2 linked regions of the Arabidopsis thaliana genome follow. The protein of the gene in region 1 purifies or fractionates together with the protein of each later gene. This does not show direct contact. Each region holds a gene or a part of one and is shown on either strand. Other genes may lie near its edges.

Region 1 (7,409 bases):
GAACCGTAGGTGCGTCTTCACAACAAGCAAACCCTAGCTGCCGCCGACACCGAGAGCTGCTAACTCGCCACCGCACCTTCAAGCTCGAAGAACACCAACTCTCTCTCTCTCTCTCTCTCTCTCTCTCTCTCTCTCTCTCTCTCTCTCTCTCTCTCTCTCTCTCTCTCTCTCTCTCTCTCTCTCTCTCTCTCTCTCATTTTGTATAAGATTCTCTAAGGTGGAGCTTTGCCTCTTGTATTTTACATTCAAAAAAGTAATCTCTAAACCCTTTTTAAGACTTATTCTTCTTTTTCTTATGGTTTACTCAACCCAACTTTTAATTCGCTCTTTTGCCATGAGCTAGTAGATCACTAGTTGGGTTTGAGGGAGTTTCAAAAGGGATTCATGGGGATGTTAAATCTGGTTTAGGTTGGCAGTTTCTATGATTTTGTTTGATCGTTTATACTATTCTTTCTAGTTGAGTTTGATCTTAATGCATGTATGTCTCGCACACCACCTAATACATGATCTTAGGTATTTTATACTTAGCATAATTTCGTATAATTGCTTGAACCTAACTCACAAATGAATATTGTGTTATAACTATGCAAACGCTAAGTTATAGAGCCTTATGGATTAGAATCGAACTTGAACTTAAAGATTTGATCTATGCGTCGGTTTTTCCCTTATTTTGGGGTCTATTGTTTTTTACAAAAATCTTAACAAAATGCGATTCAAAAATTTGAAACCCAATACAAATGCATCATAAAAATTGGTGAAATGCCGGACCAGTCTGTCCTCGATCAACAGCTAGTTGTTCTCTAGATTTTGAAATATCTTGAGGATGTTTACCCGATGTCTCCGTCCCCACGTTTCTGATAAATGAAACGGCAGTAGATAGAAATATATGTGTTTCCTAGTAAGTTAACTGTATTTCTTTGTGACATATTATGTTATGTGTACCATGTTATTTGGCTATTTGCTATGATAATGTATAAATTATCACATAGCGTCCTAGCGAAATTAATAAAATCTATACTCGAAAATCATTAATCTGAAAGTTCATTAACAGATACACGCCAACATAAAACTATAACATGTTAAAGAGAAAAATACTATTTTCTAATTGATTAAATAAAATGTAAAAACATCCAAAAATACATGTCACATTATTGTTATTTTACTTATTAGGTTTGTTCCCAAAGTATATGCCTAAGCCCACTTGTTTTGTAATAACGTGAAATGAGCAGTTCGTGTTCAAACACGTCTTACATGGAGACAATTAATTAAACACCACTTACTTGTTACTACAAATATACTCTTTCGGAGTGTTGCGAGCAATTTATAAGTCGCACATATTTTTGACTCGAATCGAGTCAATCAGGTTTTCTCAAACTATTAGGGATTTTATGTAATATTTTTTTTTAAAAGGTATATTGATGTGAGTTGCCCAAAAAAAGAAGAAGGTGTGATTGATGTGAAATTGTTTTCAAAATAGGGGTTTAATGTATGTACATATAATTAAAATTAAAATGAAAGTTTATGATATTTAAATATTATATGTCCATTTTGAATATATATGATGATTGTTCAATTGATACAATTTAAATTACAAAATAATGAACTTTTTAGTAGAAGACAATGTTTTGTGTTTAAATTATAACTTTAATGAGACTCATAGAAAGAAAACAAATATGCCTAAACCCGCTTGTCATGATGTGAGATGAGGTGTTCGTGTCCAAAGTTCAAACACGTCTCTCATCGAGAAAACTAATTAAACACCAAAAATTATTCCTTTCTGAGTGTTGTGCGAGTATTTGTAGTTTCAAATGTTTTTTACTCGATTCAAGTTTTTACCGTCCCTAACTATTTTAAGGTTATAAGCGGGTGCGGTTGCGGTTACGGGAGTTTGCGGAAACGGGCGATCACGGTTTTAAGCGTTATCAAGCATTTTGAACGACTGGTTGAGCGTTTGATAATAGGTGCGTTTGCGGGAGTTTTATGACTGATAAACCAGCCGGTGCGATAGTAATTAAATAAAAAATAACCAAAATAAATATAATATATTACTATTAAAAGAAATAAAAATATAATATATTAGAAAAATTGATTTTCTGACCAAATAAAAATACAATATATCATCTCGTCCGACTAAAACATTTTCTAATCGAGAAAACAAATCGAAACATGTATTCAATCAAAAAACTCAAAAGAATACAAAATAAAATAAAAACAATGATGCCATGAAATAGTCAAAGAATTACACTAGCTAATGAGTGAATAAAATGATAGATGATACTTATGTTTGATTCTTGATTTTGATTTTCATCGGATGCCATAATTGAGAGAATAGAGTTACAATATATTGATTAGGGTTTTCTAATAAAAATAAGATATATAAAAGATTAGATTATTTTAATTATAGTGATTAGGGTTTGGGTGGAAACCACAATTATTTTAATTAACTAAAAATAGATTATTTTTTTATTTTTAATCTAACCGCTACCGCCCGCAACCGCAAACGCTTGCGGGAAGGAGCTTTTGAAAATTGGCAATTTTGAGCGGTCCAAAGCGATATCTAGCGGTTTCTATGATTGGTTCCAATCGCTAATAACCGCTACCAACCGCAAACGCTGCGTTTATGGGTGGTAGAGGGAGAACCAATCAGCCCTTAACAAAACCGAAAAAACTAAAGATTTGAACCTAAGTGTCGAAGATTCTTTCGGACCAGTCTTTACCACTAGACTACCTAACAAATACGAAAATATGAAGCCAAAATTGTTTTTATACTATTTGCGACCGTAAGTTTGGGTTTAGCCCGCTTGTGTTTGTGCCCGGCTCTGGCTATATTAAAAAAGAATTAGATATTTTTCAAATATAATATTTTTTACAAAATATGTAATTGATGTGAATTTTTTCAATATAGGTGTTCTTATTTATATACATATTATAAAAAAAATTAAGCCATTTCGTTTTTGTAATATCTAATGTACCAGTTCCATTAGTATGTACTTTGCTAGTATAACATACCCTTTTGACGTGAATCTTCTATGAGTATGTTTCTTTAGTTTTGACCAGACACAATTCATTTACATCAATACATAAATTGGATTTTAGTTCCAAAATATGATTTTCTTGAAAGAAATATTTTATATTTTTATTAGAAGGAGTTATTAGTTCGTCATAAATGGTTCTTTGAATATGACATTTATTTTGTTTTTTTGTTTACTGTCTAAATAAGTATAACTTTTAAAAAGTGTATCTAAATTTTTTAAAAACTATTATATTGATAGATTTATTTTTCTCCACAAAAACGTTATCTCCAGTTCACCACATAGAGAGTATGGAAAGGACAATTGGGAGACGTGGACGCACTTTAAGCCCATCAATAGATTTCCCTTATATCTTTTAATCTCTTCACTTCCACAACACAACACAAAACACATCACTGATCCTTCTCTCATCCTCAGAAAGAATGGCTCAAACCATGCTGCTTACTTCAGGCGTCACCGCCGGCCATTTTTTGAGGAACAAGAGCCCTTTGGCTCAGCCCAAAGTTCACCATCTCTTCCTCTCTGGAAACTCTCCGGTTGCACTACCATCTAGGAGACAATCATTCGTTCCTCTCGCTCTCTTCAAACCCAAAACCAAAGCTGCTCCTAAAAAGGTTTTCACATACTCTTTACTTGTCCCACAAGGAACATTTCTTGTGTGTTTGATGGTAATGTTAAGATTTTCATATACATTTTAGGTTGAGAAGCCGAAGAGCAAGGTTGAGGATGGCATCTTTGGAACGTCTGGTGGGATTGGTTTCACAAAGGCGAATGAGCTATTCGTTGGTCGTGTTGCTATGATCGGTTTCGCTGTAAGTCCCCTCTATGAAATACACTAACTTATCTTCCAAGAAAGAAGCTTTAGTATGAAAGCTGTGTTTCTATGCATAGGCATCGTTGCTTGGTGAGGCGTTGACGGGAAAAGGGATATTAGCTCAGCTGAATCTGGAGACAGGGATACCGATTTACGAAGCAGAGCCATTGCTTCTCTTCTTCATCTTGTTCACTCTGTTGGGAGCCATTGGAGCTCTCGGAGACAGAGGAAAATTCGTCGACGATCCTCCCACCGGGCTCGAGAAAGCCGTCATTCCTCCCGGCAAAAACGTCCGATCTGCCCTCGGTCTCAAAGAACAAGGTATCTCTCAACATTTCTATTTCTATCTTTGTTACAATGACATTGCTCTGAACAACCAATGCAAATAATATAACCTGATAGAGTACTATAGTAACTAGTATAACTGAATTGGCCTAAGTGTAGTGTCCGGATCGGCTTTATGTTTATTTATCGTTATCCTAAGATACAAATGTGAGACAAAAGATACTAGCATGGAACTGTCAATCTCCAAAAATAATCTCTAAATGTTTATTTATTTATCGTTGGCCTGATAGATTATTTATCGTTATCAATTTCTATCTTTTTCCCCCATGTAAGCACATTGGTTCCTGAATGGCTTTCTCTAGCAGAGAGTCTCTTCCCGTTAACTTAAATAAAATAGTGTTTCTGAAAAGAAAAAAAGATACAAATATGAGATTACTTAAAGAGTTGCTTGGTCTAATGTTTTGAATAAATTTGAATATGTTTGTTGTTTTGTTGTGTGAAGGTCCATTGTTTGGGTTCACGAAGGCGAACGAGTTATTCGTAGGAAGATTGGCACAGTTGGGAATAGCATTTTCACTGATAGGAGAGATTATTACCGGGAAAGGAGCATTAGCTCAACTCAACATTGAGACCGGTATACCAATTCAAGATATCGAACCACTTGTCCTCTTAAACGTTGCTTTCTTCTTCTTCGCTGCCATTAATCCTGGTAATGGAAAATTCATCACCGATGATGGTGAAGAAAGCTAAATTATCATGTACTTAAATTTAGTAGAGAGTGTGTGACCTTCTCTTCATGTTGAGACAAAAGGAAATGGACAGCTTAAATTGTTGTAATACTTATATCCTTTTGTTTTTAACTTGGAATTTTCTGATTATATATAGTTTTATTACACCTAAGTGACTAGGTGATTGATATCATCTAGCATCTCTTAACAGAAAAAAACTGTGGAATTAGAACAGCTTCATCATAGTTTTTTTTTTTGATAAATCAAACAGAATTTAAAACTAATATGTTAAAGTACATGTTAGGAACTTATTTGATTCCAAAATCTAGATTATAAAATTAATTTGGTAAATCATGAAGGAGCCGTTGTTTTTGCTCTAGTGGTTCCCCAAAAATCAGAACATAATGGCAAGTGTTTATGGCCGCGCGTACCTTCACAAGATAGTTTGCAAAAGTGAAGGTAGCGTCTCCCCTAGAGTGATTTTCTCCATTCGTCTGGTGTACCTGGCTCGTACAGGCCGTCTCTGGGGGTGGCAAGGTAGGCAAATGCCCAAGGTTACTAATCAATTTCAAAAAAATTGTTAAGACTAAAAGGCCCCAATTTTTCCAAAAAAAAACATTTACTAAGAGATTTTATTTTATTTTGAGTTTTGCCATAGGTCTCATAATGAATTGAGCCGGGATCTAAAGCATACACTGCAAGAGTAAATATTAATTTCTATTCTAGAGGACGTCTTCGATGTTGACGAAAAGAAAAGTATCCCATGCAAATCCAGCAACTCTGTCCTATTTCGGACAGTCCAAAAATCGAACTTACGAAACAATTGATCTAAAAATCATGAGCGTTCCAAATACTCCTCATAATGGTAAAATTCATAATCAAACTTCCCAATAAAAAAGAAGCCAAAAACATCTAAAATTTATGTTTACCTGTACCCAACCCTTAAACATGTTTTCAAAAGAATCTCCAAAATCATTCCTTCATCAAACCAAATCAAATCTTAAAATAAAATTTTATATAAAGAAAAAAAAAACTTAAAACCCAAAATGTGAAACGTAACTCAAAAAATAGAAAGCTCTTTCTAACAAAAATAAATATGTTTAAACTTCTAACCCCACGTCATTATCATCTCCTTCGCCGTCTTCAATGTCTTCTCCTCCGGTGATTTTCTCCATGATCTCTTTTGAAGATGAGATTACAAGATTTCTACTGGAAAAGCGCTTAAATTTGATCAACAAAAATCGACTGTTACCATATCAAATACTCCATTATAGAATAGAATAGCTCATGTGGAAAAGCGCTTAAATTTGATCAACACACGATTTTGTGCCTATTTCGACAACGACATACACTTGAAAGTGCTTTATTCGTAATTGATCCCAATATATCAAGATCTAGATAATTTTTCTTTCGAGTTCACGGACTTGACTTCATAGACATACTTTCATACACCAAAGTACTTGGTCTCCAAGATTTAAATCTTTCTCTCCAAATAATGTCCAATAAGACAAGTCTTTCTCTTGATTCGCTTGTGTGGTGCGACGGAGGAGTTTTCAAGCCATTTCAACGGCTATCTCTAAGCAAACGAGGTTCTCTTACATGCGCCTTCTAAATAAACTTTTGCTTTTTCAAAAATTAATTAAGAAGGCTTGATAAAAAAAATTGTTTTTTTTCTATTACTTGGGCCTTTTAATCCCATAAACAAATGTATTACATGTCCTTTTAGAAAAGCTTTTAGTTTCTTTCTTTTAGTTTTCTTTTGTCTGTTTTAATACAATTTTTTTTTGACATTTTGAAAAGCGGCAATGATTGATTAAGTTATAACTTATGATTAATCGTTGATCATTGTTAATCTTTCTGTAGATCGGTTTTGCAATGAATAACGACATAGGTTGTTGTTTGGTTAATGTTTTTTCGTTGTGAATCGAATATTGATTTCATCTTAGAGTTGCAAATAATTAAGTATAAATTATGTAAGAGAAAAAGAACAAGAAGAATACCTATAACAAAAAAATTATTGTAAATTTTGAGAAGTTATTAATCTTAGAGTTTCTGTTAAGTGGGGGACAAAGGCCTTCACCAACTTCTACTCAAGTCATCTTCACTTTTAACCTTGGCGGACAAGTGACATGCTCTAGACCGGCTTTTGAAACTGATGACGTGTAAGAGTCTACGAATCCGTTTTCTCCACGACAGTAGAGGAGGAAGTGGTGTGGACTGAGGAACAAACTCCTTCTTCGTGTGGACATGTTGATATTGCGTTTCTTTTCCTTTCTCCCATGAAGTTGCTCGGTTGTCTTCGAAGTTGATCGAAATGAATGAATCTATAGATATATAAAATAAATTAATAGAGCCACCTTGTACCGTTGATCTTTATGGACGTTTTAAATTTGGTAATTATTATTGAAATATTTACTCTTTTAGTTAGATTTAATATTTTTTCTTAACCTAAGAATCCGCAAATAGGTAAACAAAATTATAAAGTGAAAATATTTGAAAAGTTAAATTAAAATATTATTTATTTAATAAACAAAAAATATATTATTTATT
Region 2 (4,950 bases), 3.9 Mb from region 1:
TGCTTGAGGTTGTATTTGCCAACTTGTCTCTTCTAACTGATTTTTTGATGTCTGTCTGTCTGCAGTGGGGCACTTCATTTTACTGCGTCGAATAATGATTGTGGAGTCAGAGATTTTGATATGGAGAGATACCAGCTTGTTAACCAGTTTCGCTTTCCATGGCCGGTGAATGTAAGTCCCTACTTTTTCCTTGATTTTTTTTTTGTTTTTGTTTTGGTATAAGTTGATCTGTAGTGCTTGTAGCAGTAAGTTTCAGTTACAAATACGTTTTGTAATCTGATATCTTCTTTTACATTACGAAATTGTAAATGTAATTGCACCCCAAATTATTTAACGAAAGGGGGTTTTTGTATTGATAGCACACATCTTTAAGTCCTGATGGTAAATTGTTGACGATTGTGGGAGACAACCCTGAAAGCCTTCTGGTAGACCCCAACACTGGAAAGGTACAGAAACGATCTCTGTGTTACGTATCCCTGAATAAATATGCTTTCTAACTAAATTTGGAATTTTCTACAGACACTGGCAACGCTATCAGGACATCTGGACTTTTCCTTTGCATCAGCATGGCACCCAGATGGATTCACGTTCTCCACAGGTAACCAGGACAAGACCTGCCGGGTTTGGGACATTCGTAACCTGTCAAAATCTGTTGCTGTCTTGAGGGGTAACCTTGGAGCAATCCGATCCATTCGCTACACATCTGATGGGAAGTACATGGCCATGGCTGAGCCGGCTGACTTTGTCCATGTGTATGATGTCTCAAACGGGTATGAAACGGAGCAAGAGATCGACTTCTTTGGGGAGATCTCGGGAATATCATTTAGCCCCGACACAGAAGCACTCTTCATAGGCGTTTGGGACCGCACTTACGGAAGTCTAATTGAGTATAGCCGGCGCCACAACTACTCCTACCTTGATTCATTTCTATGATCACCCGACATACCAGAGGAATAAAAGAGCCGATACATATGTGCTGCTGCACTCTCCTGTCGCTCTGTTAAACTAAGAAACCCGAGAAAAGAGAAAACATAAACTCAAGTCGATCTCTAATGGTGTAAATGATGTGTTGTGCAAGTACTAGTAGGAATGTTGTCACAGAGAGCGGATTTAGTTAGTTAATGTTCATTTCTTGTATGAGTGTTGGAGTTCGTGTATTGTACATAAGTATATGAGGTTCGGGTGAGTTTGCATCAAGTCTCAACTCTTGGCAAAGAGACAACTTTACTCGAGTCTGTGGCTCGTTATTTGGCTATGGTCACTTGTAGAGGAACTCAATTTGAGATGTTTCTGCCGATTGTTGGATCAAATTATATATCATGATGTTTCATAATATTTCTGTTTCCTAGACTATTAAAGTGTATCAATGGTAAGTTTCTCTCTCTCTTCTCTCTTTAATATCTTTTAGAGAAAGCTAAACTTTCCGATCAAACCTTTGCCTTCTGGTTTGATTCGAAGGCTCATGTTCCTCACATAGTGGGCTCGTGTCTGGCATCTCTGACTACTTTAGCGGAGTTGGCTAGCTTTCTTCTGACAGCGATGGCTTCCTTAGCGTCGTCTTGGTCGGCACCACTCCGGAAGCAGTAGCTTACATAGTATCGTCTTGACCGGATTTCGGGTTTGTCTCCGCCGTTGTTATGTTTTTCTTCCAGTTGTTTATTTACTTACAATAAATTTTATTAGGGATGTGTTGATAATATCGATTGAAGCGAATTATCGCTTAATGAAGTGTATTATTCGATGCTTTTACTTTTGAGTTTGCAATTACAGGAATTGATTCATAGCTTTTCAATGAATTATGGACTCTTATTGGCTTTGATCAATTTTTGTAAAATCTGTGCCGCTGTGTTTTTGGAATTCGGGAATCAATTGTCTTTTGGAAGATCCTTTCTTTGCAAATTTGATGATGATGTTTGTTGGGATTCTCTAATTAAAAACCGATGGACTTCTGTGTTTAAAGTTCTAGCTGTTTCCGGTGGCTTTGGAGTTTTCCGGTTGTTGCTGAACAGATCGGCGATGAACGGTGACGAAGAATCATCTATCCACGTCTTCAACTTTATTTGTTAGCATTCCACGTGGCTTTGCAGTCGGGAATTATTTAGCTTACTTCCTTAAAGGATTATGTTTCTCGATTGGGCTTTTCTCGTTGGGCCTATGGTTATAAGTTTGTTGGTTTTAGTTTCATATGTATCAAGACCTGTAATATTGAGTTTTTACAACACAAGTTATAAATAAAATACAAACACTTTATGAGAAAAAAGACTATTAAAGTGTAGATTATGGACTAAATCTTTTAAAAAAAAGATAGTAGGTTCTTCAAAGTGTATCCTACTAAATTACAAGGGTTTGAACGCAAATATTTCTTTGAAAATCTCATAATCCAGAAAGAACCAACGAGAGAATGCCACATCATCCATCCGTAATCGTATCCTCACAAACAAAATCTTCTTCTGCTTCTTCTCCTGCTTGCCAGAATCCAAAACCAAACCTTCAGATCATAAATCCAAAACCACTCATTTTTCTATTACTGAAATTTTTCTTAGAGAAGAAGAAGAAGAAGCAAAATGGCCACAAGCGCATCAGCTTTGCTCTCACCAACCACATTCTCCACTGCAATCTCCCACAAAAACCCTAACTCCATCTCATTCCATGGCCTTCGTCCCCTCCGTCTAGGTGGCTCCTCCTCCGCCCTACCCAAACTATCAACCACCGGGAGAAAATCCTCCTCCGCTGTCGTGAGAGCTGAGCTAAGCCCTTCCATCGTCATAAGTCTCAGCACAGGTCTCTCCCTCTTCCTCGGCCGTTTCGTCTTCTTCAACTTCCAGAGAGAGAACGTAGCAAAACAGGGCTTACCGGAGCAGAACGGAAAAACCCATTTCGAAGCTGGAGATGATCGTGCTAAGGAGTACGTCAGTCTCTTGAAATCGAACGATCCAATTGGATTCAACATTGTTGATGTTCTTGCTTGGGGTTCTATTGGACACATCGTTGCTTACTACATCTTGGCTACTTCCAGCAATGGATACGACCCAAGCTTCTTTGGATGATTCGTTTCAATGTCAATCTCTCGTATATGTATATGTATATGTTTGACTTGTGTTGCAAGCTATCTAATCTGTTCTCTATCTCTGTTTCTTCTTCTGTTGTTGTTGTTGTTGTCTAAGACTTGTCCCTCTTTTTGCAAATGTTTTATTTCTCCATTTACAAAGATTGGTTTGCAGAGTTTTATAAGAAGAACATAATAGTATATACACTATGGAAACAGAGAGATGAAATCACATTTTTACTTGCGCTCAAGATTTCGATTTAGTTTGAGCTAATGTTCGTATGAAAAACTTAGGTGATTTGGTGAAGCTAGTTTCATACCTAAGAGAGAGTCTAGATGTAAGATCTCAGAAAGATAAAGCCAATGTCTCAACAAAAACAGTATGCTCAAAGATAAAGTATACAAAAAGAAAACCAAAAACAAAGACATAAACCTTAAGTTTAGATCAAGTTACGGCTGCAAATAAAAAACCATTGTAATAAAGGAGGGTAGTGTCTATGGAAATGAAAGTTTGAATCCTTATGATTCACATCCTCAATGGAAGAAGACTTGGCATGTTTCTGGACCTTGAAAAGAAAGTGACAACTCCTCGATCATCTCATCTCTTGTTTCTTGAGCATATGTTGTCGGAAAAAAGATTGTCGCAGACTTTAAGCAGCGAGCATTTTTCAAGATATATTTAGCTACATCCATCTGGTTCTGCAGCAATCCATGCATCTCACTCCAACGGAACGTTTCGAGACTGGACAACAAACATGTAGGAACACAATTCAGCTGATTGTCCCACTGATTTGGTAGATCCGTACGCCCATTTGGATGATCCTGTGATCAAACATGAGAAGTTTGGCTTAAACATTATAGTTAATTGAACCAAGAGTATAGGTCTCTAAGGAACAAACTTACTTCTATCACGTAAGCCTCGAGCTCTCGTAAATTGGGAGAGCTTTTGAGTAATCGGGCAAGTAAAATTGACCAATCTGAATCACATGAACATATCTTCAATTGTTCAAGCTGGTTGAAGACAAGACCCTCATGATATAAAGACTGCATAAGATGACAAAAGATTCAACTTCAAGAAAACCTGGTTTATTGTTCAACAATGAGATGGATAGAGTGATGGAAACAGATTACCTCTTCGGTGTAGACTCCCAAGCATAACGAAAGACGCTTAACAGATGTGATTGATCCAAAGAACTTTTTGATATTTTGGAATGTCAATACAAAATCTGCCTCCTCCAACTTAGGCATATCTTCAAAATCGTAGAAGTATCGAGGACTATCACTGTCACTCTCATCATCACTATCACTCTCTAGCCTTTCATCAATGACTTTCAAATACTTCAAAGAAGGAGAATTCATCTTAAGCCCATCAAGATGACAAGGACGAGACATCTTTAGGGTTAGTCTCTGCAAGGACTTGACAATCACACTCAATTTCCCCAAATTGTCAATTTTATCTCGTTCCATAACTAGATCCTCAAGAACAGGGCAGTTGGAAAGAAGTCGGTGAAGAGAATTTGCATCCGAGTAAGTCACACGTCCAAGGAACAATGTTTTCAGGGAGGGGAGACATACCTTACGAGGAACATCAACGAGAATCTCGTCTTTCAGTTTCAAGATCACAATCGATTTGCATTTACATAAGCTTTTGGGCAATTTAGTTGGAAGCTCCGCAAAATTAAAAAGCTTTAGACTTAACTCACGGACGTTGCTAACATGAACTGCAAGTGAAACCCAGAGATAAATATCTTTAGGTTTAATTGATCCAATTGCTCCATACCTAAACTTGAGACTCAAGCTTTCAATAGCCGGAGCTTTATGTACTCGCAGACTCGAAGTAATAAATCTAGCCAACCCCTGGCCTTCAGACACTGAATAATGCCTAAAATTGTACTCCAGTTTAG

Evidence for each region.
Region 2: the proteins of NPQ4 (region 1) and PSAG fractionate together in Arabidopsis thaliana (co-fractionation; one large-scale study listed by BioGRID). This does not show direct contact.

What each region holds. Positions count from the first base shown.
Region 1 is NC_003070.9:16,868,314-16,875,722, forward strand, and holds NPQ4 (Chlorophyll A-B binding family protein), read left to right. Parts: upstream 1-1,907; 5' UTR 1,908-1,961; intron 1,962-3,197; exon of another isoform or gene 3,198-3,305; 5' UTR 3,306-3,454; coding exon 3,455-3,646; intron 3,647-3,730; coding exon 3,731-3,844; intron 3,845-3,923; coding exon 3,924-4,167; coding exon of another isoform or gene 4,168-4,235; exon of another isoform or gene 4,236-4,633; coding exon 4,634-4,881; 3' UTR 4,882-5,111; downstream 5,112-7,409. Other genes in the region: AT1G44608 (uncharacterized protein), read right to left, coding at 6,936-7,183. UniProt on the Arabidopsis thaliana protein: Plays an important role in non-photochemical quenching (NPQ), a process maintains the balance between dissipation and utilization of light energy to minimize generation of oxidizing molecules, thereby protecting the plant against photo-oxidative damage; acts upstream of DLDG1.
Region 2 is NC_003070.9:20,800,971-20,805,920, reverse strand, and holds PSAG (photosystem I subunit G), read left to right. Parts: upstream 1-2,471; 5' UTR 2,472-2,539; coding exon of another isoform or gene 2,540-2,564; coding exon 2,565-3,047; 3' UTR 3,048-3,251; downstream 3,252-4,950. Other genes in the region: AT1G55680 (Transducin/WD40 repeat-like superfamily protein), read left to right, coding at 66-171, 360-446, 520-933; AT1G55675 (uncharacterized protein), read left to right, coding at 1,741-2,067; AT1G55673 (uncharacterized protein), read right to left, coding at 2,540-2,950; AT1G55660 (FBD, F-box and Leucine Rich Repeat domains containing protein), read right to left, coding at 3,581-3,868, 3,950-4,090, 4,178-4,950. UniProt on the Arabidopsis thaliana protein: Not yet known.